Rattus norvegicus: one gene and its partners. The protein of the gene in region 1 purifies or fractionates together with the protein of each later gene. This does not show direct contact. Links are inferred from orthologs where the notes say so. Each region holds a gene or a part of one and is shown in the gene's direction. Other genes may lie near its edges. The genes, in order: Dhx9, Ddx5, Ago2, Hnrnpa1, Ilf2, Dicer1 and Nxf1.

Region 1 (3,117 bases):
CAGCTAGACTAGTTTTATAGTGAATAGGAAAAGTTGTAGACTAGGAAAGGGCTACTATATACACAGTTGTCTGTGCAAAGGTTTTTATTATCACCTTTGACTTTTCTACTTCTAAATTTTAGACTGGAGACCCACATGACACCAGAGATGTTTAGAACACCATTGCATGAAATTGCTCTGAGCATAAAACTTCTGCGCCTAGGAGGAATTGGCCAATTCCTTGCAAAGGCAATTGAACCTCCACCTTTGGATGCAGTAATTGAAGCAGAGCATACTCTTAGAGGTAAGTGATACTTTCTTTGTCTTTACCTACTTAACAAATCCTATTTAACAAGTCAGATATAGACTGGGGGTGGGAGATTAACATGTTAGGCTTTATGCAGCATGTATTTCTACAAGGAAATTGTGGGATGAAGGGGCATAAATGGATCTCATTAAATAAACATTTAAGGGAATAGAGAATCCACCAGAACATGAATTACTCCTTACCTATATTTAATATTTAAATATATGTCTTAGTGGTTTGGGTTGTTTTGTTCTAATCTCAAATTTGTTATAAAAGTGATGTAGCCTTGTGAAAAATAAGGGCATTGAGCTCAGATGGCCCTGCATTGAACTTGGAATCTGGAACTCACCTGATTCTGATTCTGATTCTTATGGGCTGTGTGTGTGTTTAATGCTGATGTTGCTACTATATCAGTGACTGTAGTCCCAATTTGCATCATAGGTCATACCTTTATAGCATCTTCTGTGTTGGCTATTCCAGTGTTTGGTCCAGACTTCATATTTAACTTGACGTAAAATTAAACACTAATACCCTGTTTATTGACATCACTCACAAGTATGTATTTTCCCATAGAACTTGATGCTTTAGATGCCAATGATGAGTTGACTCCTCTTGGACGAATCCTGGCTAAACTCCCCATTGAGCCTCGTTTTGGAAAAATGATGATAATGGGGTGTATTTTCTAGTAAGTTCATTGGTTTTTGTTACTCAGAATAAAATGGACTTAATAAAGGCAAAGGTGGGTTGGTGGTTAAAAAAAAACTTACAGTAAACCTTTATAGTATAAACTTTTATAGTAAATATTAGTTGTTATATCCTAGCTAACAGAGTATTCAGTCCACATTTGAAGGTCTTCTCACAGAAAGGCTTAACTGCTGTTGTGCTGTTGTTTCAGTGTGGGAGACGCTGTCTGTACCATCTCTGCTGCTACCTGCTTTCCAGAGCCCTTTATCAGTGAAGGGAAGCGCTTGGGGTACATACATCGGAATTTTGCTGGAAACAGATTTTCTGATCATGTGGCTCTTTTATCAGTATTCCAAGCCTGGGATGATGCTAGGTAGGAATTTAAAGGCAATTCCTGTGAGAATTTAGTGAGCTTGTCTGAATTTGTAACTTAGTTTGCTAAGCCTTTGAGAATGAATGCCTTTTCTGTTTTGTTTTAGGATGAGTGGAGAAGAAGCAGAAATACGGTTTTGTGAGCAGAAGAGACTAAATATGGCTACACTAAGAATGACTTGGGAAGCCAAAGTACAGCTTAAAGAGATACTGATTAACTCTGGCTTTCCAGAAGGTAAGCCCTCTTCTATTTATAAACTGGTTTTTGTGTCTCATTCTGTTAACTCTAGATCTTGGAGGTTAAAGGCAGAATAAAATCACTGAGAATTTAAGATAGACAGCCTGAATTAATTTGTGACATCCTTTCTCAGTAAAATAGAGAACAAAAAGCTCCTCCCCCCCAAAAAAAAGATAGTTTGTGAGCCATTGTGATAAACTACAGGTACATTGGCTGAAGAATATTTGCTTATAATTCTTAGCTATTTGAACATACTTAACCGGATATGTTAGTACCAGAAACTAAAATTTTTAAAGGTTACAAATTGAATTAGAGTAGTTTTTTTGTTTTGTTTGTGAACTGACAGATTTTAAAAAAAAAAATCTAAGGGGAAAAATCTGTATGTTCAGAATATTCTAATGATCTTTTTTTTTTAAAGATTTATTTATTTATTATATATAAGTACACTGTAGCTGTCCTCAGATACACCAGAAGAGGGCATCAGATCTCCTTACAGATGGTTGTGAGCCACCATGTGGTTGCTGGGAATTGAACTCATGACCTCTGGAAGAGCAGTCGGGTGCTCTTAACCGCTGAGCCATCTCTCCAGCCCTATTCTAATGATCTTAAGATGAAGCTATTATCCTGCTTTATTGCTAATAACAGCTTAAGTTATTTAGGTTTGTTCACATAGATCTAATATTGAGGCTTTAAGCATATTGGTGACAGGTTTTTAATTTGGAAATGGAAATATTGCTAAGGCGTATCTTGGATAAGACAGCCATCCTTTCAGTGACTTCTTGGATTGTCTTTTCATCTGCTCTGCTAGTAATAAGAGCAGCTGATAACCTTTGATTGTAAAGTTCTGAGAAAGTTATCAGAGGACTTTGAGTCATGCTATTATCTAATCTTTACAAACCATTTTTCTATTTTTTTTAACAGATTGTTTATTGACACAAGTGTTTACTAACACTGGACCAGATAATAATTTGGATGTTGTTATCTCTTTGCTGGCTTTTGGTGTGTACCCCAATGTATGCTATCATAAAGAGAAGAGAAAGATTCTTACCACTGAAGGTCGTAATGCACTTATCCACAAGTCTTCTGTGAACTGTCCTTTTAGCAGCCAAGACATGAAGTACCCATCTCCTTTCTTTGTTTTTGGTGAAAAGGTAAGAGGATTAGGGAAGTCTGAAAGTTCAGAGTTATAATAGGACTAATGACCCATCAGTGTGTGACATTTTACATTTTCTCCATCTACAGATTCGAACCCGAGCCATCTCTGCTAAAGGCATGACCTTAGTGACCCCTCTACAATTACTTCTCTTTGCCTCCAAGAAAGTCCAGTCTGATGGTCAGATCGTGTTTATAGATGACTGGTAGGGCCTTTCAGTTGTAATCTTCAAACTGAATTTTTAGAATAAAGATTTCTTAGAATAATGTGTTTAGTAATAATCCTTGGAGATCTTGCTAGTCTAGTATATGCAAGAGTTTCACTCTGAGGCCTGGTCATTTTTGAGGTGTGTTTATAAGGTATATGCTGCATGGTACTGTTAAT
Region 2 (2,518 bases), on another chromosome or scaffold:
TGATTGCCATGGTACAGCATTGTTTCAAACTGTTCACTGTGATCTGTGGGTCTTTGAGTTTCAGTGAGTTTGCTGAAATGTCGAAGAAATATTTCCAAACTTCAATGTTCAATGAAATTTTTGTTCAAGTATGAAATGGAGAGAGCAGCTTTAAAAGGTACTAAGCCTTTTACAAATTGGTGAGTACTGGCACATGAGACCTAGAGCAGGACCAACTTCTCACACATAGTCAGTGGGAAAAGAAAGTGCCTTGAAAGTTCCTCCCTCACCTACACAGTAGTCGTCATGTCGAGACCTGCCAGAGAGAGACACATTCTCAAGTGAATCCTGGCTTCTTGGAAGCGCTTGCCTAGACGAGACACAGTGCATTAAAACAACTTTTGGGGGACAGGTATGTTTTTCTTGCAGCTGCAGTTGTAAGGTCTTGGCAAGACAAGCAGTGTGGCCAGAATTGAGTGTAAAGCAAAGGACCTTCACCTTTTTGTTTAAAGGTCCTCAAAATGAGCACACGAAGAGATTGCTGTGAAACTTTTAATTGGCCCTACTGCGCAGAAGCATTCAGATGTCACTTGATGATCTGTAAGGGGACTGTCAATTTGGGAATGTGCTAAGGAGAACACACATTCCCTTGATAGGCTGTCAGTGGGTGGGTGTTAAGACAGCTGACATGTGCTTTTTTTTTTTTTCTTGTTTTTTTTTTTTGTTTTTCCTACCCTGCCCTTTTTCTACCTCAATGGTGTTCCTACAGGAAATGGATAACCATTTTAACTGTATTTTTTTCAGCCCGTACCTTCTTGGGAATACAATTGTCTAACTTTTTATTTTTGGTCTGGCTGTTGTGGTGTGCAAAACTCCGTACATTGCTATTTTGCCACACTGCAACACCTTACAGATGTGGAAGATGTGAAATTTGTCATCAATTATGACTACCCTAACTCCTCAGAGGATTATATTCATCGAATTGGAAGAACTGCTCGCAGTACCAAAACAGGCACAGCATACACTTTCTTTACTCCCAATAACATAAAGCAAGTGAGCGACCTCATCTCTGTGCTTCGGGAAGCCAATCAAGCAATTAATCCCAAGTTGCTTCAGTTGGTCGAAGACAGAGGTTCAGGTAAGAATCTTCCATGAGAGATGTTACGGGATTGTTGACAGTCACCTCTTGTCTACGTCTACGGAGTGGGATTTAAGGACTGAGTTAGTTTTTATTTTGAAACTAAGAAATCTTAAGACCCAGCATAAATAGAGCTATCTCACACTATGCCATGGGTAAGGTGATCAATTTCTACTTATTTTCTTGACAGGTCGTTCCAGGGGTAGAGGAGGCATGAAGGATGATCGTCGTGACAGATACTCTGCAGGGAAAAGGGGTGGATTTAATACCTTTAGAGACAGGGAAAACTATGACAGAGGCTACTCTAGTCTGCTTAAGAGAGATTTTGGGGCTAAAACTCAGAATGGTGTTTACAGTGCTGCAAATTACACCAATGGGAGCTTTGGAAGTAATTTTGTATCTGCTGGCATACAGACCAGTTTTAGGACTGGTAACCCAACAGGGACTTACCAGAACGGTTATGATAGCACTCAGCAATATGGAAGTAATGTTGCAAATATGCACAATGGGATGAACCAACAGGCATATGCATATCCTGCTACCGCAGCTGCTGCGCCTATGATTGGCTATCCAATGCCAACAGGGTATTCTCAATAAGACTTTAGAAGTATATGTAAATGTCTGTTTTTCATAATTGCTCTTTATATTGTGTGTTATCAGACAAGATAGTTATTTAAGAAACATGGGAAATGCAGAAATGACTGCAGTGCAGCAGTAATTATGGTGCACTTTTTTCGCTATTTAAGTTGGATATTTCTCTACATTCCTGAAACAATTTTTAGGTTTTTTTTGTACTAGAAAATGCAGGCAGTGTTTTCACAAAAGTAACTGTACAGTGATTTCAAATACAATAAATGAAGGCAATGCATGGCCTTCCAATAAAAGATATTTGAAGACTGAATTAAGTGGAAATTGTACTTTATTTTACATATATAATGTCATGTAAAACTTGGCTTAGATAGTATGTTTTTGGGGGGATTTTTGTTTTGGTGTTTATTTTTACACAACTAAAGTTGACTACTTCCCATTCCTTGGTTTAGGAGAGGAACTCAGAAGGCCCTTTGTATGGGAAGAATTTAGAAACAATGGATTTTATAATTCTAGATTAATTGCATAAGAAGCTTTGTCAGTAGTTTTCAGTATCAGGGAAGTAAGTCGTTTAATAGCCTATTTTCCTTAAGAGTGAGCTACAGGACAGGAACTGTATATAAGTAACATGGTGACTCTTGCAGAAGTTTTAAGTGGACATTTTGCTTTATCAAATTTATTCCATCTCTTGGCTTTATTGTCAACTGCCAAAATGCACAAAGCTGAAAGACTGTTAGCCCAAGAGCTGTGCACTGTGTCCTTAGTGCAGGTTACCTTGTATTTCTAGTCCTAGCAGACTTGCCAGAGTGCTTA
Region 3 (4,175 bases), on another chromosome or scaffold:
TTTGTGTGGGGGGGTGTCAATGCTGGGAGGGAACCCAACGTCTCATAGGTCTTCAGACAGTGCTCTACTGCTGAGTAAAATCTAACACGGCCCCTCCCCTCCCATTAGTTTTCTGTTGCCCTGGCTGGTTCTGAGCAAAAATCTCTCCTGAGTTCAGCAAATCCTGTCTCCATCCCAAAGCAGTGGGGACCACAAGTGCTGGCCACAAGGGCTAGGTATGATTAATTACCCGTTTGTGTCGACCACTTAGGAGGAAGGGGTACCCAAGGCTTTCTTCTATGTACCCTAGACTGGATTTAGCATTGTCATCCTCCTTCCTCGATTTCTGAGTAGCTGGGATGGCAACCCCACAGTTCTTTATCTAGTTCCTTCCTCCTCCTCCTTCTCCTCCTTTCCATGTTTATTGGAAGGAACGCTGCTTTTCTTGCTCCTCGGACTATTTTTTGAGCACTGCACAGGCTATGGAACCTACCCCGATGCTGGGGTCCCTGCAGTAGGACCCTGTTTGCTTGGGTCCTCAGCATGGGCTTTGAAGGCATTGTCAAGCGTACAGGGTGAGGCGGGAGCTGACACTGCCTCTTCTATAGAAAAGGTGCCAGAGACAACTGGGAGCACGTGCCAGCAACAAGTGGGGAAAGGGCCTATGTGCACAGAGCATGCTCGTCTGGGAGGCCTCAGGGCAGAACTTGGGGGTTCTGAGCCCAGAAAGCGGGGAGCCCCGACTAGATCTGCTCCCTGACGGCTGATAAAATTCATCTTGAACTTGCTGTGCTTCCTTGGTGCTTTATTAGGATTATCTAGGTTGTCGAGCCGCGCCGGGAGGTGGCGGTGTGGTCACGCGCACGGGTCTGGCCGCGTCCAAGTTCAAGCTCTGGGTGGGGAGCTAGCTTCCCGTCGCCGTTTCGTTAATAACTTAAAGAGCCAGGCCGAGGTGCAGGGGCGGGACGCGGCCGGGGCTCTGCCACTCGGCGCGGGAGGACTCCGACTCCGGTCGCAGTGCTGGGCTGGCCGCGCCCGGAAGCCAGACGTCGCCTCGCTGGGCCGGAGGAAGGGTCTCCCGCCCGTGTGCCCCGGGTCGCTCCTGGGGTCCCTCATTCAGGGCAACCACGCGGGGGGCCGCCACCTCGATTTCCCCCCATCCCGCTGCCCCGCGTGCGCGCGCCGCCTCCAGCCTCCTCCCCTGCCCCCTCTCTCCCTGCCACCTTCCCTCCTCCCCGCCGTCCCCTCCCTCCTCCCCGCCTCCTCCCTCCTTCCCTCCCCGCTGTTCCCTCCTTCCCTCCCTCCCCGCGGTCCCCTCCCTCGTCGTCCCTCTCGCCCCTCCTCCTCCCCTCCCTCCTCCCGCTCCCCTCCCCCTCCGCTCCCGCCGCCTCCGCCCGCCGCCCCGGCCGCGTCGGGTAAACCTGTTCTGCGAGGCGGCCGCGCCGGGGCGGATCGAGCGGCCGGCGGGTCCTCGCGGCTCGCGGCGTCGGGGCCCGTGGAGCGCGCGGCCGGCCCTCGGCCGCGGCCCTCGGCAGCGCCACCATGTACTCGGGAGCCGGCCCCGGTGAGTCCGCGCGGCGCCCGGCACTCGTGCCGCGGCGGTTGGCGGTTGGCGGGCGGGGCAGGCGAGGGCGGCCCAGCCTGTGGGGCCGCGGCGTAGCCTCGGGGCAGCCGGGTAGGGCCTCGGGGCAGGGAGGCCCAGTGCACCGGAGCAGCGCGGCCCGGACGTGTTTGGGGGCCCAGGCCCGGCCTGCAACGGGTCTCGGTCCTCCCGCAGCGCTCCTCCCTCTGTCCCCAAGCGCATAGCTGTGGGGCCCAGCATGCGGGGCCTGGGGCGGGGAGCTGGACGGGTCGGGAACCGAACCCCGGGGCCCCGGGACCGCGATCGTCTGCTTGGACGCAGTTCCACGCTGGGCAGCCGCCCTCCCCATTCAAGTGCTAATCGCCCTGCGATTTCCTAGCGGAGCGGGTGGCCGCCGTGGCACCCCTTCCCACCAGCGTGCCCGTTTCTCTGGAAAAGTTCCAGAAAACTTAAAAACACGAACGTATTTTCCCACCCCGCTTTTCGAGCAGAGTGGAGGGCGGTTTACTCGCGGGGTTGAGAAAACAAGTGTTGGGAGGCTTTTTCGCCTTCTCCCGCCAGGCACGTGGCTCCATTTCCCGGCCGCCCCGCCGCTTGCTCGGGCTCAGCCTGCCCCCCTTTGTCCGCCAGGCTGTACTTGGCGCCCGCGGGCCCTCCCTGCTGCCCACCTGACCTAGTGGTTCGGCCCTGGGGCCTCCCCAGACTTCTTCACTGTGGGGTCTGGAAGCCTCCCAGATCCTCCCGGGTTCCCTACGGTGCTTGCTCCGGAGCCTAGTGCGCCTCCTCTCCTGATGTCATAGGGCTCCTCGAATGCCCACTGACCAACTTCTAAATGCGTTAAAGGGCTTCCCAGTAATTTGAAGACCCTTTTAACCTTGCGCTTGGGAGGTGTCCGGGTCCTGGAGGCAGATGTTGGGGTCTGGAGGTCCCCTGCGAAATGACCAGGGCAGCCTCCTGCCAGATTGGGAATCCCCCCTCCCCCCCAGCTCAGCGCTGTGGAGGAACCCAGCAAACATTAACTCCGAATATGTACGTTTTTCCTGAGTGTCAGTTTCTAGTGATCTTCTTGGAGACGAGGCCATGCTTTTCTCTATTTTGCGTGTTGATCCTTTCAGCTTGCCACAGTGGGCCTTTCTGGAGACAGGCAGTGGAGGCTCAGAGAGGTTTAAGAACCCTTTAACATCCGGGAGCCTGCATTAGGACAACCTGTTTGAGCACTCCTATAGAAATGGTTTCCCAGTCCCTTTGACCTTGACCCCACTGTTGGAAGCACTTGTTTGGTGTGGATTAGACCAGTGAATTCCCAAGTAGGGTGGAAAGGAAGAGCCTACTGTGTGTTCCGCGAGGGCATCTTTGTTGCCTTTTCAAAAAGAATGCGGTAGCCTGGATCAACCGGTTCATTTTGGTCACTGGCAGCTTTGAAGATGGCTGCTGCTGCGTGGGCCTCCGCATTGTGGCCTAAGGGAGAGACAGTCCCCTCTAACCAGAAAGCCTTGGGTGAGAAAAGAGATGCCTGTAGGGTAATTCTTGGCTAATGGCAGGCTGGGAAGGAACCCAAGTTTCAGGTGGGCCAGTGTGCTGTAATTGCAAGGCTGGAGTGCAGCTCCATTTTATTGCACATAGCACATACAAAGGCTTTTAATTTTGTTTACAAGGAACCCCTCCACCTCCATCCTTCAAAGAGACTCCATATTTCCAAGTTTAGGAGAATGGAAGGCCATTGGATCTGAATTAAAGAAAAGTTACCAAGTTTTGCTGTTTCCGAGCTTGATGGGAAGTAAATACTTAGTAAATTAACTTTAAAAATAGAATCCACAGTGGGTTCTCATTGTGTCTGTTACAAATACTGTTACATGTGTGAGATTAGTAGCACTGGGGGCCAAGGTTCAGAACCTCACAGATTTTTCTTTCCTATTGGAAAAGGTTAGTGGTTTAGGGTAGATAAATTCTCTTCCCACCCTGAAATTTCCTAGATAGTGGGTTCTAGGTGGGGTTTCCCCCATCGAAGGATCTTAAACTGTCTGGGAGGAGCTTTGCCTCCTGCAAAGAGATGCTCCTGCTTTATAGCCTATGAATATTTGCTACAAAATAACCTCGGAGACTGTGGAAACCCGACTGAGAGCTGCGGATCACGACTGCGTCTTTGATCATCGCTTTACTCTCTGTGGTCTCCAATGGCAGCAGTTAGCCCCTTCCCCCACCCTCCTCCCCAATTCACAGTTTTGTCTGAGGGTACCACTGCTGCCTGGCGGCCTGTGTGCTGCAGGGAAAGCGTTGCCAACAGCTGGAAGGCACAGCCGGGTGGCTGAGCACTTGTGGGAAATCTTCCCCCCAGGAGCTTGTGAAGGGATTTAAATAAGTGTTCAGGGGAAAAGATGTAAAAGCTTTGACTTACACATTCTTAAGAAGCAACATTTTGTAACTTTTGAGTTTTCTCTGTCAACACCATTGGGTTTATTCTTTACAATTAAAGAGGCTGGGGTTCCAGCATGATAAAAATGTTTCTTTTTCCTCTCTTCTTTTAATTTTATGAATCGTTATTGTGGGAAATGTATCACAAGATTTCTTTTAAAAAGGTTCTGCTGGGAAGTGATTTTACAAACATGAAAAGGCA
Region 4 (4,240 bases), on another chromosome or scaffold:
GTGGTTAAGTCTATTTTTCTTGGATGTTTTTCATTAAAGTATTCATTTCACTGTAAAATTTTAATATTCTTCTTTCCAAAGAATAAAGGCACGTCCTCTAGAGTCTAAGTGAAGGGTGAAACTTTTTGTACCAAAAAGTACAAGAAAACATATGTTTTCCTTAAGGTAATATACGGAATGAATGCCTTAATTATAGGAGTCATTTTAGTTAAATGTTCGCCCCCACAAATGCAAGACTAAGCTTTATTTTTTGAGAGTAGTCTGTCCTACTGGCTCCAGGTTTGCTCTATATGAATTTAACCTACCGACTCCCGCGCTCCCCACTGGAGTCCAGCCTCTGCCTCTTGGGGAAGGCCGGCCTATGGCGCGCTTGGGGTTCATTGGCTCGGAGAGACGCAACTCAGGCAAGAAAAACCCGCCTCCCACATTCCGATGGCCCAAGGACCGGTTGGTAGGCAGCTATAGGAAGACCCAATTGGCCTATACACTCGCCAGTCAAACGCTTCGGCAACGCAGCTTCACCGAACCTGCAAGGATAAAACATCCCGCCCCAGTTGTCCTATTGGCTGGCCCGACCCGTCGCGGCCCCTTCACCGTCGTCTCCCCCCCCCCCCCAGTTCAGCGGTCCATTCATTTCGTACAATAACCGGTGCAATTGGAGCAGGTTCAAGATCTCGTACGGGTAGACAAGACTCTGCCACTTACCCGGGATCTAAAGTGATCACTCACACTAAGGCCTGCACGGTTCCTCTGTGGCAAAGCGGCACCACAAGCCACCGCTACCGCCGCCTTCTGCGCAATGCCAACCGCCCGCCAAAACGGATCCTTCCCTGCGCCTGCGCAACCAATCCCGGGCTTGGACCTTTTCTCCGCCCAAAACGCCTGCGCAAAACAGAACACAGGTCCCTCCACTACGCAGGCGCCTACGAACCTCGTATCCCTCTCCCGCCCGCCATTTCACGTGTTCCAGACAGCAGGCGGAACTTCGTACTGCGCCGGCGTAAACTCGCCATTTTTATTACACATGCGCTTTATAGCTGGGAAAAGTCGCGGCGAACTACTTTCTAACGTATCGTCCTTTGCCGAGTGAGTTTGTAACATTCGGGTGTGGGGAAGGTATAAAACACATTTAAAGACGTGAGTACATTCAAATATAAATTACTGGCTAGCTAGCCAATCAATGTGGTTAAGAATAAGATCCCTTGGGGCGTCAATGACTCAAAGGGGCGGGGACTGAGTAGAACGCCCAAACGGATGCCGTTTCTTAGCAGGGCGTTTTTACAGGCCAATGGTGGGAGGGAACAATTTCAAATCTCCAATAAGACTGAAGCAAGGGCGGAGTCTACCAATGCCGAAAGCGAGGAGGCGGGATAAAAGGGAGAGCAGAAGGTAGGCTGCCGGACACGTTCGCTATCTTATTCCTTTCTGCTCTTTGACGCTGGCGAGGAAGCATCGCTGAACGCTCTCATCATCCTACCGTCATGTCTAAGTCAGAGGTGAGTTGAGCGCGCTCTGCAGCTTCGCTTTCTTCCACACTTACTGAATATGACGGGATGTGACCTGTTTTGTCGCTGGCTCCCGTGCTTTCGGTGTTTGATCGATTACTGCTGAGGCCTACTTTAAAAAATGCAGGTCGCCATTTTGTCCTCATAGTCACCATGAGGCTGCGATCCGACAGCCATTAGTTTCTACGCACTGTTCCTTTTGGCAGAATTCTTACACTTAACGATCTGGGGTTTGTGGCCTTTTTTTCGTTTTTCCCTATCTGGTCTAATGATCTCTTGTTAAAGAGATACTAAGTCTTAATGGCGATGGACCAGACCAACCTGTGTCTTTTGTTGCGCCTGCGTATGAAGTAACAGGACGCATGCGCCGCGTGCAACTCGAGTCCCCAGTCAAGCCCAGGAAGGAGCACGTGGTCTTGTGCAGTAATAAAGAACAATAAAAAAGTGTGGCGTGTGTTGATGAATGGTGTTGATTCATTCGCCCAAGTTTCAGGCCCTCCACTAAGCCCCCTCTTTCCCCCACTTTATTTTAGTCCCCCAAGGAACCGGAACAGCTGCGGAAGCTCTTCATTGGAGGGCTGAGCTTCGAAACAACCGACGAGAGTCTGAGGAGCCATTTTGAGCAATGGGGAACACTCACCGACTGTGTGGTAAGATTTAAAAAAACAAAAGGAAGAGCTGCCTTATTTCTTCTGATTTAACCTTGACGCTTCTTAGCTAAATGTTTTGTGAAGTTAATTAATGGGATACTAAAAATCATCGTTGTGGAGCTTTGCTAACAAGATCTGTAAAAGAGCTTTTTATTTTCTGACTCTGGATGGAGTTTCATGTTTGCAGCGCTCTGACTAGGAATGACTTTTTGGCTTTGTGATCAGGCACTGTGTTGATTGAATTAACTCTAAACAGGTAATGAGAGATCCAAACACCAAAAGATCCAGAGGCTTTGGGTTTGTCACATATGCCACTGTGGAGGAAGTGGATGCTGCCATGAATGCAAGACCACACAAGGTGGATGGAAGAGTTGTGGAACCTAAGAGAGCTGTGTCAAGAGAAGTGAGTGGTTTTTCCTAATAGCTGGTTCTTTTTTAACCTGAGATTGTAATGGGGCAGATCTCAACTGGGAGATCCTCCCTCCTGAGTGAAATTAAAGGCATGTGCCACCACAGGTGTCAATCATTTAGGAATGTGCTGCTACTAAATAACTGGAGTCATTTTTCCTTTTAGGATTCTCAGAGACCAGGTGCCCACTTAACTGTGAAGAAGATCTTTGTTGGCGGTATTAAAGAAGACACTGAAGAACATCACCTACGAGATTATTTTGAGCAGTATGGGAAAATTGAAGTGATTGAAATTATGACTGACAGAGGCAGTGGAAAAAAGAGGGGATTTGCGTTTGTCACCTTTGATGACCATGACTCTGTGGATAAGATTGTTAGTAAGTATCAGAGGATTACATTTTCCTTTATGATTCTGGAGTTCACATGTTTTTTTAAAAGTCCTGAATTTAATTTTTCCTCTTAGTTCAGAAATACCATACTGTGAATGGCCACAACTGTGAAGTAAGAAAGGCTCTGTCGAAACAAGAGATGGCTAGTGCTTCATCCAGCCAGAGAGGTGTGTTTATTGCTTGGTTAGACTTGGGGTGAGGAGGACACTGTTAGTTATTACAGGTTAACCTAATGATCCAAAATTTCTTTTAAGGTCGAAGTGGTTCCGGAAACTTTGGTGGTGGTCGTGGAGGTGGTTTCGGTGGCAATGACAATTTTGGTCGAGGAGGGAACTTCAGTGGTCGTGGTGTGTATGGCTTTGTTTGGCTCCTTGTTGGTTTTAGAACTTATAACTAGTAATTGCTACCCTGTGTCCCCAGCACTTACAGGTTTTGATATTTGATAAGTATTCATTCACGTACAAAGCCTGGTTTAAAGCTTTGGTTTCTTCCAGGTGGCTTTGGTGGCAGCCGTGGTGGTGGTGGATATGGTGGCAGTGGGGATGGCTATAATGGATTTGGCAATGATGGTAAGTTTCTTAAGGAGTCTGTAAGGAGTGGTTTCTGGCGACCTCTACCTTTAGAATAGGCTACTAGAGACTAAACCTAGTGCATGACAAAGTTCAGTCAGCCCCGTAAAATGCATGCCCTGAGCAGCCTTTAGCTATTTAACTTGCGTAGATTTTTCTTGTTAAATACTTTTGTCTTATTGAGAAGACTTGTATTCTTGTAGGTGGTTATGGAGGAGGCGGCCCTGGTTACTCTGGAGGAAGCAGAGGCTATGGAAGTGGTGGACAGGGTTATGGAAACCAGGGCAGTGGCTATGGCGGGAGTGGCAGCTATGACAGCTATAACAACGGAGGAGGCGGAGGCGGCTTTGGCGGTGGTAGTGGTAGGTATCCAGTGACGCAGGTACTTGGTGCGGAGCTAGATGAGACTTCCAGGGTTTATGCCCGTCTCAGACTTCACGGCTGGCTCTTAGAGCATTGTAGGTACATTGCATGGTGCGTGCAAATAGGCTTGCTATGCTACCTCCTCCTGGCTTTAAGCTGGGGCCGCCTCCCCCAAAATGAGTAGGTGGATGAGTGGTTAGTGTCTTCCTTCCACATGAGGTAGTTAGAGACATAGCTGGATTGTCTACCTTCTGCTGGGACTTCAGGCATTTAGTTGATATATCCAAGAAATGTCTGTCTTGACCTAGAATATGTACACAAAGACCTTCGATTCTAACTTGCCACTGAGAGAAACT
Region 5 (4,184 bases), on another chromosome or scaffold:
CACGACAAGGTCCGGTTTAAGGATTTATTTTATGTTAAGTTATGTGTGTATATGTATACGTGCTTGTGAATACAATCCCCTAGAGGACTTTAGAGATTGACTGAACTTAGGGTTGGGGATTTAGCTCAGTGGTAGAGCGCTTGCCTAGGAAGCGAAGCGCAAAGCCCTGGGTTCGGTCCCCAGCTCCGAAAAAAAGAACTGCTGAGTCATCTCTGATCGAGCCCCAATAAAAAGAAAATCTAAAGGCAAACCTAACCCACGATAGTAGAAATCCAGTATGGTTATCTTTCTGAGATGATAAAATACTGTTTTTGTGAGGCAGGATCTCCCTATGTAGACTTACTTGGCATGGACTGGTTACCTAGAATAGTCTGACCTTGAACTCACAGAGATTCTCCTGCCGCTGCCTCCCAGGTGCGGGAATTAAAGACATGCTCCACCATGTTTACCAAAATATCCTTTAAATTTTTTTCCGTTACATTTATTTATGTTGTGTTTGTGGGTGTCACCACACCCACGGCATTCATAGTGAGGTCGGAGGACAAAATGCAGATCGCGGCTCACCTTCCATCACTGAGTCTCCAGAGGTCGAACTCAGGTAGTTGCGATTGTACCTGCCGACTCACCTTGCCGACCTGATAAAGTATTCCTTATTTTAATGAGGTTACTTAGAAGGAATAGATGCCTACAAAAGTAAATAATACATCAATACTTGTCAGAATCACCTAGCATAGGGAAGTGGGGAGGGAGGATCTGGGTGGAACTGGGGAAGAGAAATACATGATCAAGAAAAATTGTATGACAATTTTCAATAAAAAAGAATCATATAACAGTAATGATATTGAGGGAAAAAATGGTGGGAAATGGAACTATTTCTGATATTTCCGTAAGGTAAAAGTTATGTTTTCAAGTGAGGCGGCACACGGCAGAGATTGCTAAGAGTTTGATGACAGCTCAGGCTACATTAACGAGTATTATGTAAACTAGGGTGACAAAGCAAGACGCTGTCTGGAAAAAAAAGTTGGAGAAGGAAAAAAAACCCCACATCTCTTGCTATGGAAAAATTTAATTGTATTTTCACCCGTAAAAAGAAAAACAAAGTCTCCGATAGCAGAGGATGGTTTCGATCCATCGACCTCTGGGTTATGGGCCCAGCACGCTTCCGCTGCGCCACTCTGCTACCTACTGGTAGGCTATGCTTGTATTACCATAGAAGACTTTACCTGCTTACAGCCTCAAATTCTGAACGCCCTCTACTGTAAGTGGGGGAAATTGCCTCTGTCCCTGGTATGTCTTCTTATTGGTTGACTCCTTTACAGAGCATTTCCATTGGTTGCTGGGTTAACCAATAAACGCACGGGACGGAGTGAGGCGGGAGCCTATCGCGCAGGCGTTTGTTGGGACACGCCGACCCGACGTTTCTCTGTTACCTTGATTCTTCCAAGCGAAGAGCGGTTGAGTGGTCTCCATTGTTCAGGATTAAGCGAGCCATGAGGTAAGTAGACAGGGTGCTTGAAAGTTCCTGCCGTAGCCTCGAGGGATGGGGGGTTGGAGTTGGGGAGCAGGCTGAAATGGAGTCGGGGGAAGAAGGGCCTGTATCTGGGCGGCCGGCGGAAAGCCGGGCCGGAGAGAGTGGAGTAGGAGGAGGCTGGCCGACTCGGGGAATCGGGCCTGGAGGGGGGCCGGGCCCCAGCAGGGCAGTTGTGTTGATTCCTGGGTCTCGGGGGATGGAGGAGAGGTCTTAACGGACCAGGAAGATCACCCTCCGTGCGCAGTGAGCAGGCTGGAGCGCTGCACATTTTTCTGGTGCCTAGTGTTTGACCAATTGGACATGTCTCGTAACTGGTATGCTGTATTAATAAATGAGAAGTCACCTTACCCTGAATATTACGACCCGTGTGCCTCAGGATCGTGGGTTACTTAGTAGGGGTATGTATGTCAGGTTCTGAAACTCGTATTTTCCTGATGTGAGTTTTGATAAAATCCTGAATTAGAAGTGGGGTGTGGTGGCTCAGGATGCAGTCTTGGGGTGGGGGGAGGTAATGCAGGAGATACATGAGATTCCGTTTCAAAAACAGAAGAAAAAAAAGTCCAGAATTAGGATGTCATGAGAGTGGGACTGGACATCATTTGGAATCGGGGAGAAGTGAGCATGATATATCTGTCGACTTCAGTAGTTGGAGGGGGGTCAGGGTAAGTCACATTGAAATAACATTGATGGTGTGATGGAAACCTTTTTCAGCAACATGAGAGTAAAATGTATGTACTTTTAGGGGTGACAGAGGACGTGGTCGTGGTGGGCGCTTTGGTTCCAGAGGAGGTCCTGGAGGAGGGTGAGTGTGGCTGTTCACGTCTTTGCCTTGGTTTGTTTCAGTAGATAGGAGTTTGGAGTAGATTGTTCTGTTTGATTTTGTGAAAACCACTCGAAGCATTTCTTTTCCTCATGTCCTACAAAGTGAATTTGGCTTTTTGCTAAGAATGATGCAGCTTAGAAATGCCTGAATTCTTTTTTTTTTCGGAGCTGGGGACCGGAACCCAGGGCCTTGCGCTTCCTAGGCAAGCGCTCTACCACTGAGCTAAATCCCCAACCCCAGAAATGCCTGAATTCTTAAGACAGAATTCTCTTGCTTGCTTTCTGCCTGAATAATTTTGGATTGTTTTCATGTTTCAGGTTCAGGCCTTTTGTGCCCCACATCCCCTTTGATTTCTATTTGGTGAGTATTTTGGCTTTGGAGAACTTGACTGGCTACTGCTCACTTACAGGTGTAGAAGCCCAGAATCCTTGTTAATGACGTTAGATACTGTTTGGAGTAGGATTCAAGAATGGATCTGTTCTTTGAGAGTGGGTCTTCTGTATGATTGGCTGGCCTGGAACTCTATGTATACCAAGCTGACTGCAAATTCATCATCTTCCTGCCTCAGCCTCCTGAATGCTAGAATTACAGGCATTCATCTGCTGTAAGTTTTTTTTTTTTTTAAGATTTATTTATTTATTATATATAAGTACACTGTAGCCGTCTTCAGACACACCAGAAGAGGGCATCAGATCCCATTACAGACAGTTGTGAGCCACCATGTAGTTGCTGGGAATTGAGCTCAGCACCTCTGGAAGAGCAGTAGTGCTCCTAACCACTGAGCCATCTCTCCAGCCCCCCTGCTGTAAGTTTTTATTTACTTAGTTTGAGTGCTAGAGATGTGAACATGCTACATGTATACCCCATTAACTGGTTTTATTTTATTATTGTATTTATTATATATTGCAATCTACTTAGAGCTATAACTACAGGTCTAACATGGCTCTAGCAGAGGACACAAGTTTTTCCCGGTTCTTACATCGTACATAGTGCACATCTGTCTGTAACTCTGATTTCCAAGGCTCTTACGTCTCTGTTGACTTCCACAGGCTCTTGCACACAGGATGCATATACACACACTGTGGCACTCGCATATACATAAATACATATTAAAAACAAGCCAGTTCACCAGCCCAGCCAGTCTTAAAGAGAATGAAGTCCTTTTGTGATACCAGCAATGGAAACCCCAGCAATAGGACCATTGTTAGTGTTCAGGGCCAGCCTGGGCTACAAATGAACCGTCTCAATAAGAACAAAACTTAGAAAAGAGTGTAAGCAAGGCAGGGAAGATACTTTCTTTACAGTTTGATTGTAATATTTGTCTAGAAAATACTTTTTTTTTTTTTTCTTTTTTTTCGGAGCTGGGGACCGAACCCAGGGCCTTGTGCTTGCTGGGCAAGCGCTTTACCACTGAGCTAAATCCCCAACCCTAGAAAATACCTTTTTTTTAAAAAAAAATATTTTTAGGACTTATTTATTTACTTTGAGACATTGCGTGTGTGTGTGTGTGTGTGTGTGTGTATGTGTGTGTGTGTGTATAAAACCTTGGCTGGCCTGGAACTCAGAGATCTGCCTGCCTCTGCCTCCAGAGTGCTCAATGTGTATATTATACTACATGGTAGATTATAATTAGTTTCTTTCTTTCTTCATTTATGTTTGGATTTTTAAACAGGGCTTTTCTCTGTAGCCCTGGCTATCCTGGAACTCAGAAACCCACTTGCCTCTGCCTCCTGAGTGTGTGCCACCATTGCCATCTGGCTTTTTTTTTTTTTTTATCAGGGGCAGCTCTTTTTTTTTTTTTTTCGGAGCTGGGGACTGAACCCAGGGCCT
Region 6 (3,500 bases), on another chromosome or scaffold:
TGGCGTGCTGTATTTCCCGCCGTGGCTGTCTATGGGTAAGCGTTTATGCCTCTTCTGCCCAGGTCAGCAACTGTAACCTGTACCGCCTTGGCAAGAAGCAGGGACTGCCCAGCCGCATGGTGGTGTCGATATTTGATCCTCCTGTGAATTGGCTTCCTCCTGGTTATGTGGTAAACCAAGACAAAAGTAACTCAGAGAAATGGGAAAAGGATGAAATGGTAAGCTCTCAGCATGCAGCTTTTTTGTTTTTGTTGACTGAAGAATTTTGTCCTTGTTTTCTCTGTGCTGTGTGTTTACCATGTAGTAGATATTTCGTGTGTTGGCAGGCCATCTACGGCTTCAGAAACAGCGTTGGTTTCGTGCAGTGTGATTTCTGCTCCCCCCCACCCCCATTCCAGAGGCATAAACTTCTGTTATGTTTCCACTTAAAAATAAAGTCAGAGCCCTCTCAGGTTCCGTCACTCTCACGTTACAGTGTGTCCTTAGCCATCTGTTGAAGTGACTTTGCAGTGACCTGTGATCTCCAGGCTGTGTCTGGAAGAATTCAGTTCAGCACGGACTAGCTTGGGCAGTGCTAGCCTGGGACTGTGTCCACTTGCCAACTAGACAGCAGTCGCCATGTGGGAAGGCTGCAGTGTACCGGAAAGACTGGAGATTTCTCTTCAGTAGCCACAGCTTCCTTTGTCTTGTCCTGAAGCCACCAGGGGGCAGCTGGGAGAGTTGTCTTGTACTTTGAAGTACCCATCTGTTCAGGCATCGCCGCCTGCCAGATTTATTTTGTATTGATGATAAATGGGCTTGCATCATTTCATTTTTACTTCCGGCTGATAATGGTAACACCATTTCTTTTAGTTTCTGATGTTTCTGTCTCAGTGAGTGTCTGTAGGTGATGTGGTCTCTGAGGCCGCACTGATGTAGGCCTGCGTGCTGAGTATATTTGTAACTCAAGTAGGATTTGACTTACCACAGAAATTCAGTTTAGTTGGAGATCATTAAGAATATTTTAATGCAAATTAAGTCTGAGGATGATATTTGATAATTAATTTATTTTTATTCTTTAGTTTTTTATTGTTTAAAGATTTATGTATTATATATAAGTACACTGTAGCTGTCTTCAGACACACCAGAAGAGGACATCAGATCTCTTTGCAGATGGTTGTGAGCCACCACATAGTTGCTGGGATTTGAACTCAGGACCTCTGGAAGAGCAGTCAGTGCTCTTAACCACTGAATCATCTCTCCAGCCCTGTTATTAATTTATAATACACACATTTGCATATGTCTATACACACATTCACACACATACCTTAGAAAAGTGTAGACTTTACCTTAGAAAAAGTCTGTACTTTCTACAAAAAACAGTCCAGCAGGCCTCATCTTCTGTTTGTATATTTGATCCTTTAGGTAGCAGTGACACACCTGGGCACCAGGGCTTTCCTGACTTACAGGTTACAGCGTTCACTTCTGCTTTCTGTCCTTCTCTGCTGACTCAGCACTTCGGTCCCTAGCACGCACTACCAGACGGTGCAGGCTTTCATCCGTTGCCTTCCACACACTCAATTACTGCCAAGTCACAGGGTGGTTGTGGATTGTGTCCTTCCAGTTCCAGTGTCTGCCCCTAGGTCATACCTGGGTCTCTGAATGCCTCCTAGAAGAGAGAGTGAGGGCAGCTCAGGTAGACAGTACTGTTGAGACACACACAGGCACACAGAGCGCACGTGCACACATACAACATACACGTGCGCACTCTGTTCAAATGCTTGTGCTTTGGACAGCATTTTTGAAGTATAACTCCTCCTTGTGAAAATGAAGAGTCTGCACAGTGCCAGGGACATAAAATGCCCAGGATCACTGGGTGGCAGCACCATGTTACAGAAACATGACTTATGCAGAAGCTTTGCAGTTTAAAACCTCAGGCTAAATAATTCAAATTTGGCCATTTTGTCTTAAGGCCTAAATAATAAAGCTGATATGGTGGCACGTGCTTTTTTCCCATCACCTGGGATATAGAGGCAGGTGGATCTCTGAGTTCAAGGCCAGCCTGGTTTACACAGTGAGTTCCAGGCCACTCATGTTATCTTGGAAAAACTGAAAAGTTTTGACAGGATATAGTTTTCTGAGATTTGCCACTAGCTGGGTGCTTTGCCTGCATGTCTGTGCACCTTGTAGATGCTGGTACCTGCAGAGGCCAGAAGAGGGCATTGGATCTGGCATTAGAGGTGGTTATAAACTGCTATGTTGGTGCTGAGAACTGAACCCAGATGGTCTGGCGAGAGCAGTCGGTATTATTAATATCTGAGCCACCCTTTGGACCCCAGTTGATGGTTTGGTATTTTGTATTTTTCAAATGGATTTTTGGTGGTTTTTTGTTTGTTTGTTTGTTTGTTTTTTATTGATTGCATATGATTACAAGGCTAGACTCAGATATTCTTTTTTCAAACAAACACCCAATTTCTATCTTTTTTGAGTCTGGTTTAAAATGAAACGTATGCCTTGTTTTACAATCAAATGGAAAATAGTTTGAAAGGGTTTTGTCACAATATTCTGGAAAGTTGTTTCAATCAAAGTTGAAGCTTGCTGTCCTGCGCCTGCCCGAGTAGAGTGGTGGTGCTGTGCGTTCATGTGTCGTCTTGGTGGCACTGCAGACATTGCACTTCTTAGCATTGCAGAAGATGACCTCACTGGCGAATCACAGCCCATTATTAAAGTTGCCAGTCACAAACAAGCTTTTGCCAGAAAAGTTGGAATTAGCAAAGATTTTTGACAGAACTGAGATTATTGTGTTTCATGTTAGTCTAAATTTTCTTCTGTTCTGTCAGCCTGCTAGGATCCTGAGTACCAGGGCTCAGAACAGAGGGTGGAAGAAGAATTTCCCAAATTTGTACCTTCTTTCAGTGATCATGTTTATTTTTAATTTTTAAAGCAAAGCAGTTTAATTTTACATTGTAGCCAATGTTTTTTTGGTTTGAAGTGTGGAAGTAGAAAGAAAAACTATTGTAAAACCCTCCTACAGTTTTTAGTGGTAAAGATTTTTAGAAATAATTTTGTCTGCTTTTATATTATGTTCTTAATTGAAAAGATAATGCTTTTTCTACATCTGGGATTTCATTTTGTTGCTTTGAAAGTCAGGCAACCACATTTTCACATGCCGATAGCCAAGTGGAAGGCAGGCCTGTGAGGGCACCAGAGGGCTCTTCTGTCCTCAGAGTCAGGCTGCTCACAGACGTTCTGCATGGCGGACATCAAGTTTAACTTTATCCTTGTTCCGAATTCTTCTCTACAGATTTATACTGGATAAAGGTCATTTTATAACATAGAAAATGAACATTCAAAGAGCATGTTTGACTCTGTTTATATGATTAAATAACTTATTTTATGTTAATTGAAAACAAATGGCCATGATTTTTAAAGTTGCCTTTTAGTATTTGTGGTTGTCATTTGAAATTATCCATGACCCTTGCTTTTATTGAGTTTCAAACCCTTTAAAACAGCAGCTCTGT
Region 7 (3,500 bases), on another chromosome or scaffold:
GCTCAGACCCAGGTATGACTGACAGCAATGATCCTGACTAAATGGAGAGGGGGACAATTGGTCTTTATAACACTGGTATGAGCAAGCCCTCTCAGACTTCCTTTTTTTTCCTGCTTGCTAAAGATTTGGTGGCCCAGAACATCGATGTTGTTCTAAACCGTAGAGGCTGTATGGCAGCCGCCCTGAGGATCATTGAAGAGAACATTCCTGAGGTGAAGCTTCTTTTTTTTGCATTAGAAAGCAGAGTGAGATGGGTAGGATAGGATGAGGGACAAATTTGCCTTGTGGTAACACATCTAAACTTTGTTCTATTCACAGCTATTGTCTTTGAACTTGAGTAACAACAGGCTGTACAAGCTTGATGACATGTCCAGCATTGTACAGAAGGCACCAAACTTAAAGATCCTGAATCTCTCTGGAAACGAAGTAAGACGGATCCCTAGTGGTACTTTGGTTTAATGGTTACTGGTTATGAATGGGTGGAGGCAGACTGTATGGGAGTTGGTTCTTCCCTTCCTCCCACTGTGAGTTCTTGGACTGGAACTTGGGTTGTGAGATGCTCACAAGGCAGGAGCTTCTGCCCACTGAGCCATCACACTGACCCTTGGCTGTATTTCTGTGGTGGTGGAGAGCGAGAACAGTTTGGCTGGCCATGGTGGGAAGCAAGAAAGAAAACTTAGGTTGTATTTGGAAACATGGGGATCCAGCTGCTATCCTTAGTAAAGTCCGTTTCCTGCCTCTTTTCTTCCCTCATCCTTCACAGTTGAAGTCCGAGTGGGAATTAGACAAGATAAAAGGGCTGAAGCTGGAAGAGCTGTGGCTTGACAGAAACCCCATGTGTGACACCTTCCTAGACCAGTCCACCTATATCAGGTCAGTTGTAGCCTCTGTCTCCCCTCCTGGGGACATTCACCCCCTGGGAGGCTGAGCTAATGCACCCTGACCAGTACCCGTCTACAGGAGAACATGCAGCCCTGAGCTGGAACCACCTGTCCTTTGGGAGGAGGATCCCGTACTCCTTTCTGCCTGTCAATGTCTCCTAGCTTTGTCCTAGATCTCCTCTCCTTTCTTCTCACCTGACTACTATATTCTGATTCTCTGGCCTTTCTCCTTCCTTCCTGAACACAGCCTTTTCTAGAATCTCCCTACCTGTTATTCCAGGAAGGATACCTCTTCTTTTCTGTTCTGATGTGGAGGTGTCTTATATATGTCCTACCTGTGTGTTTGTCTTCAGCCAAAAGCCTAGAGTACTCAGACTGAGAAAGCCCTCTCTTACTGAGATGGGCCTTCCTTCCTTTGCCCTTCGATGGTCCCTCTTGCCGTTGTACCAAGAGGGACTCTGTTTTCATGACACACTTAGCCAGGGCTGTTGCCTGGTCCTTCCTGCCCATGACGAGGTTGGTGCCTCTTGCAGGCTGGCACCATGCTAGTGGTCTCTCTTGCCTAGTGCTGTGAACTGGGCCCTTCCTGGAGAAGAAACCTGGGTTCCCTAAGATGTGACCAAAGCCAGGGACCCCGCCAGCAGGTGAGGGGATCCCAAGGCAAATGCTGGGCGTGGAGGCCATAGGGGCATCTGCTACCAAGGAGACAGAGAAATGACCCTGTCAGGGGCATGGCTCCTCCCTCACTCGCACACCTCACGTCACCCTGCTTGGCCCCGGAGATGGCTGGTTAGCCAGAGACGGGTAAGATTCCTCAGGGAAGGAACAACCTAAGACAGGCACAGTCGCATAGGGGCCATCAGGAGAAAACTTGGGGGCCAACTGAGGTGGGGCACAGACCCTCACCCCCCCAACTCGGCAGAGGCCTGAACCCTTCTGAGGGAGGTCTCCTGACCCCATGGCTGCTTTACCTCCCACGCCCAGCTCAGACCGGGACCCATGGAGCAGACAGAGACCTGGCCAACAGCAACTGCAAACCATTATAGGACTTATTCTCCATTTCTACCTTGGGACCACAGGAAAGGGGCAGCTGAAGGAAAGGGCTGTATCAGGAGGTCTTTCTTTCTACCATTCTTTTCTGAATGCCTCTGCCTTCAGGTCTGTCCCTGTTGCTTTACTTCCTCTTTGTCTCTCCATCTCTCTTTTGTCCTTGCCCTACCTTTCTCCATTTCTCTTCTTTCCCTTGGTCTCTTTTCTTTCCTCCTTTCTTCTTGAGCCCTGTCTTGTTCATCTCCTTGCCCCAACATCCCGTGCCATACTTGTGGTGTGTTCTGGTCTTGGCGAAGGCCAGACCTGGCAGAACTGGTGGATACCTGGTGAGGCAGCAGAGCCCCTGGGCTCCCACCCCATTCCCTCCTCCCGGGGCTGCACAGGTGAGTAGGTGGAAGGTAAGGGGGGAAAGGTGGGGAAGGCAGCCCTAGGCTTAAAGCCTGGGCTGAGAGTGTCCTTCTGTGGCACTTGGGATCAGGCAGTGAGACAACAAAGTCAGCCTTCAAGGCAATTCAGAAGGGGTGCCCCTGGTGAGGAGGGGAATGGGTGTTCTTGTCCCCAAGTTTAATTTAAGCTGGGGAGGAGGGGGCGATGTACAGGATGGGATGGGCTGTTCCTCGGGTTTTTGGTGTATTTGCTCCTAGAGCAGCCCAGGAGGCATGATGGCTCTGAAGCGTCTCTCACTTCTGTCCCGTTCTTGACAGCACCATTCGCGAACGATTTCCCAAGTTATTACGCCTGGTAAGTTTAATACTGTTCTCAGTAGCAAGGACAGCCAAGGTCTTGCCTCTATTTTGTGACCATCCATGTAGGTGTGGAGATTTCTTTGAGAATCTGCTAACAGTGGAAATCATCATCCTAGAAACGCTTGTTGACAAAGTTTATATAGGATCCCTGTATACTCTCCATGCTTTAGCTTTTCTGTATGCTTACAAATCCCGTCTTTGTTCTGTTTCTCATGTTACATTCACTTCTTTTTACAGGATGGCCATGAGCTACCCCCTCCAATTGCCTTTGATGTCGAAGCCCCTACTATGTTACCACCCTGCAAGGTCAGAATTGGGCTTAGAATTAGAGCTGTGTGTCGGATACATACTGGTCCTGTGACCCTAACATCTTGTTTGATTTCAGGGAAGCTATTTTGGAACAGAGAACCTAAAGAGTCTGGTCCTGCACTTCTTGCAGCAGTAAGTTTCCCAGGAGCCCTTAGTGCTGGGGATAATGGCTGGTCTGTGCGTACTCACTGCTATATGTGTCCTTTTGGTTCCAGACACAGAATTCAGACTCTTTAACTTTCCTTACAGGTACTATGCAATTTATGACTCAGGAGACCGCCAGGGTCTTCTGGATGCCTACCATGATGGCGCCTGTTGCTCGCTAAGCACTCCTTCCAACCCTCAGAACCCTGTCCGGTAAGTGTCACATGTCAGAACCTATCCAGAACCAAAAGATTATTTGGGAGATACAGGCCACTGATCTGACCACCACCATCATTCCCTCTTATTTTCCAGACACAACTTAGCCAAATACTTCAATGACAGCAGAAATGTGAAGAAGATTAAAGATACC

Evidence for each region.
Region 2: the proteins of Dhx9 (region 1) and Ddx5 fractionate together in Homo sapiens (co-fractionation; 3 studies listed by BioGRID and IntAct, with this or other methods). This does not show direct contact. The link is inferred for Rattus norvegicus from reciprocal best matches to the Homo sapiens genes DHX9 and DDX5.
Region 3: the proteins of Dhx9 (region 1) and Ago2 purify together in Homo sapiens (affinity purification with western blotting; 5 studies listed by BioGRID and IntAct, with this or other methods). This does not show direct contact. The link is inferred for Rattus norvegicus from reciprocal best matches to the Homo sapiens genes DHX9 and AGO2.
Region 4: the proteins of Dhx9 (region 1) and Hnrnpa1 purify together in Homo sapiens (affinity purification with mass spectrometry; 7 studies listed by BioGRID and IntAct, with this or other methods). This does not show direct contact. The link is inferred for Rattus norvegicus from reciprocal best matches to the Homo sapiens genes DHX9 and HNRNPA1.
Region 5: the proteins of Dhx9 (region 1) and Ilf2 fractionate together in Homo sapiens (co-fractionation; 5 studies listed by BioGRID and IntAct, with this or other methods). This does not show direct contact. The link is inferred for Rattus norvegicus from reciprocal best matches to the Homo sapiens genes DHX9 and ILF2.
Region 6: the proteins of Dhx9 (region 1) and Dicer1 purify together in Homo sapiens (co-immunoprecipitation; 3 studies listed by BioGRID and IntAct, with this or other methods). This does not show direct contact. The link is inferred for Rattus norvegicus from reciprocal best matches to the Homo sapiens genes DHX9 and DICER1.
Region 7: the proteins of Dhx9 (region 1) and Nxf1 purify together in Homo sapiens (co-immunoprecipitation; 4 studies listed by BioGRID and IntAct, with this or other methods). This does not show direct contact. The link is inferred for Rattus norvegicus from reciprocal best matches to the Homo sapiens genes DHX9 and NXF1.

Annotation. Positions count from the first base shown.
Region 1 is NC_086031.1:68,155,430-68,158,546, reverse strand, and holds part of Dhx9 (ATP-dependent RNA helicase A), read left to right. Parts: intron 1-122; coding exon 123-283; intron 284-859; coding exon 860-971; intron 972-1,181; coding exon 1,182-1,343; intron 1,344-1,449; coding exon 1,450-1,577; intron 1,578-2,501; coding exon 2,502-2,731; intron 2,732-2,822; coding exon 2,823-2,938; intron 2,939-3,117. UniProt on the Homo sapiens protein: Multifunctional ATP-dependent nucleic acid helicase that unwinds DNA and RNA in a 3' to 5' direction and that plays important roles in many processes, such as DNA replication, transcriptional activation, post-transcriptional RNA regulation, mRNA translation and RNA-mediated gene silencing.
Region 2 is NC_086028.1:92,223,893-92,226,410, reverse strand, and holds the end of Ddx5 (probable ATP-dependent RNA helicase DDX5), read left to right. Parts: intron 1-826; exon of another isoform or gene 827-892; coding exon 893-1,117; intron 1,118-1,307; coding exon 1,308-1,714; 3' UTR 1,715-2,018; downstream 2,019-2,518. UniProt on the Homo sapiens protein: Involved in the alternative regulation of pre-mRNA splicing; its RNA helicase activity is necessary for increasing tau exon 10 inclusion and occurs in a RBM4-dependent manner. Binds to the tau pre-mRNA in the stem-loop region downstream of exon 10.
Region 3 is NC_086025.1:106,991,325-106,995,499, reverse strand, and holds the start of Ago2 (protein argonaute-2), read left to right. Parts: upstream 1-1,375; 5' UTR 1,376-1,521; coding exon 1,522-1,543; intron 1,544-1,550; exon of another isoform or gene 1,551-4,175.
Region 4 is NC_086025.1:136,252,678-136,256,917, forward strand, and holds the start of Hnrnpa1 (heterogeneous nuclear ribonucleoprotein A1), read left to right. Parts: upstream 1-1,440; 5' UTR 1,441-1,481; coding exon 1,482-1,496; intron 1,497-1,540; exon of another isoform or gene 1,541-1,898; intron 1,899-2,038; coding exon 2,039-2,155; intron 2,156-2,411; coding exon 2,412-2,558; intron 2,559-2,729; coding exon 2,730-2,940; intron 2,941-3,026; coding exon 3,027-3,119; intron 3,120-3,206; coding exon 3,207-3,299; intron 3,300-3,446; coding exon 3,447-3,521; intron 3,522-3,724; coding exon 3,725-3,883; intron 3,884-4,240. UniProt on the Homo sapiens protein: Involved in the packaging of pre-mRNA into hnRNP particles, transport of poly(A) mRNA from the nucleus to the cytoplasm and modulation of splice site selection.
Region 5 is NC_086020.1:178,255,543-178,259,726, forward strand, and holds the start of Ilf2 (interleukin enhancer-binding factor 2), read left to right. Parts: upstream 1-1,384; 5' UTR 1,385-1,490; coding exon 1,491-1,495; intron 1,496-2,273; coding exon 2,274-2,333; intron 2,334-2,671; coding exon 2,672-2,714; intron 2,715-4,184. UniProt on the Homo sapiens protein: Chromatin-interacting protein that forms a stable heterodimer with interleukin enhancer-binding factor 3/ILF3 and plays a role in several biological processes including transcription, innate immunity or cell growth.
Region 6 is NC_086024.1:129,401,753-129,405,252, reverse strand, and holds part of Dicer1 (endoribonuclease Dicer), read left to right. Parts: intron 1-62; coding exon 63-218; intron 219-3,500. UniProt on the Homo sapiens protein: Double-stranded RNA (dsRNA) endoribonuclease playing a central role in short dsRNA-mediated post-transcriptional gene silencing.
Region 7 is NC_086019.1:215,091,063-215,094,562, forward strand, and holds part of Nxf1 (nuclear RNA export factor 1), read left to right. Parts: coding exon 1-12; intron 13-123; coding exon 124-212; intron 213-318; coding exon 319-426; intron 427-763; coding exon 764-873; intron 874-2,635; coding exon 2,636-2,672; intron 2,673-2,914; coding exon 2,915-2,983; intron 2,984-3,062; coding exon 3,063-3,118; intron 3,119-3,235; coding exon 3,236-3,343; intron 3,344-3,442; coding exon 3,443-3,500.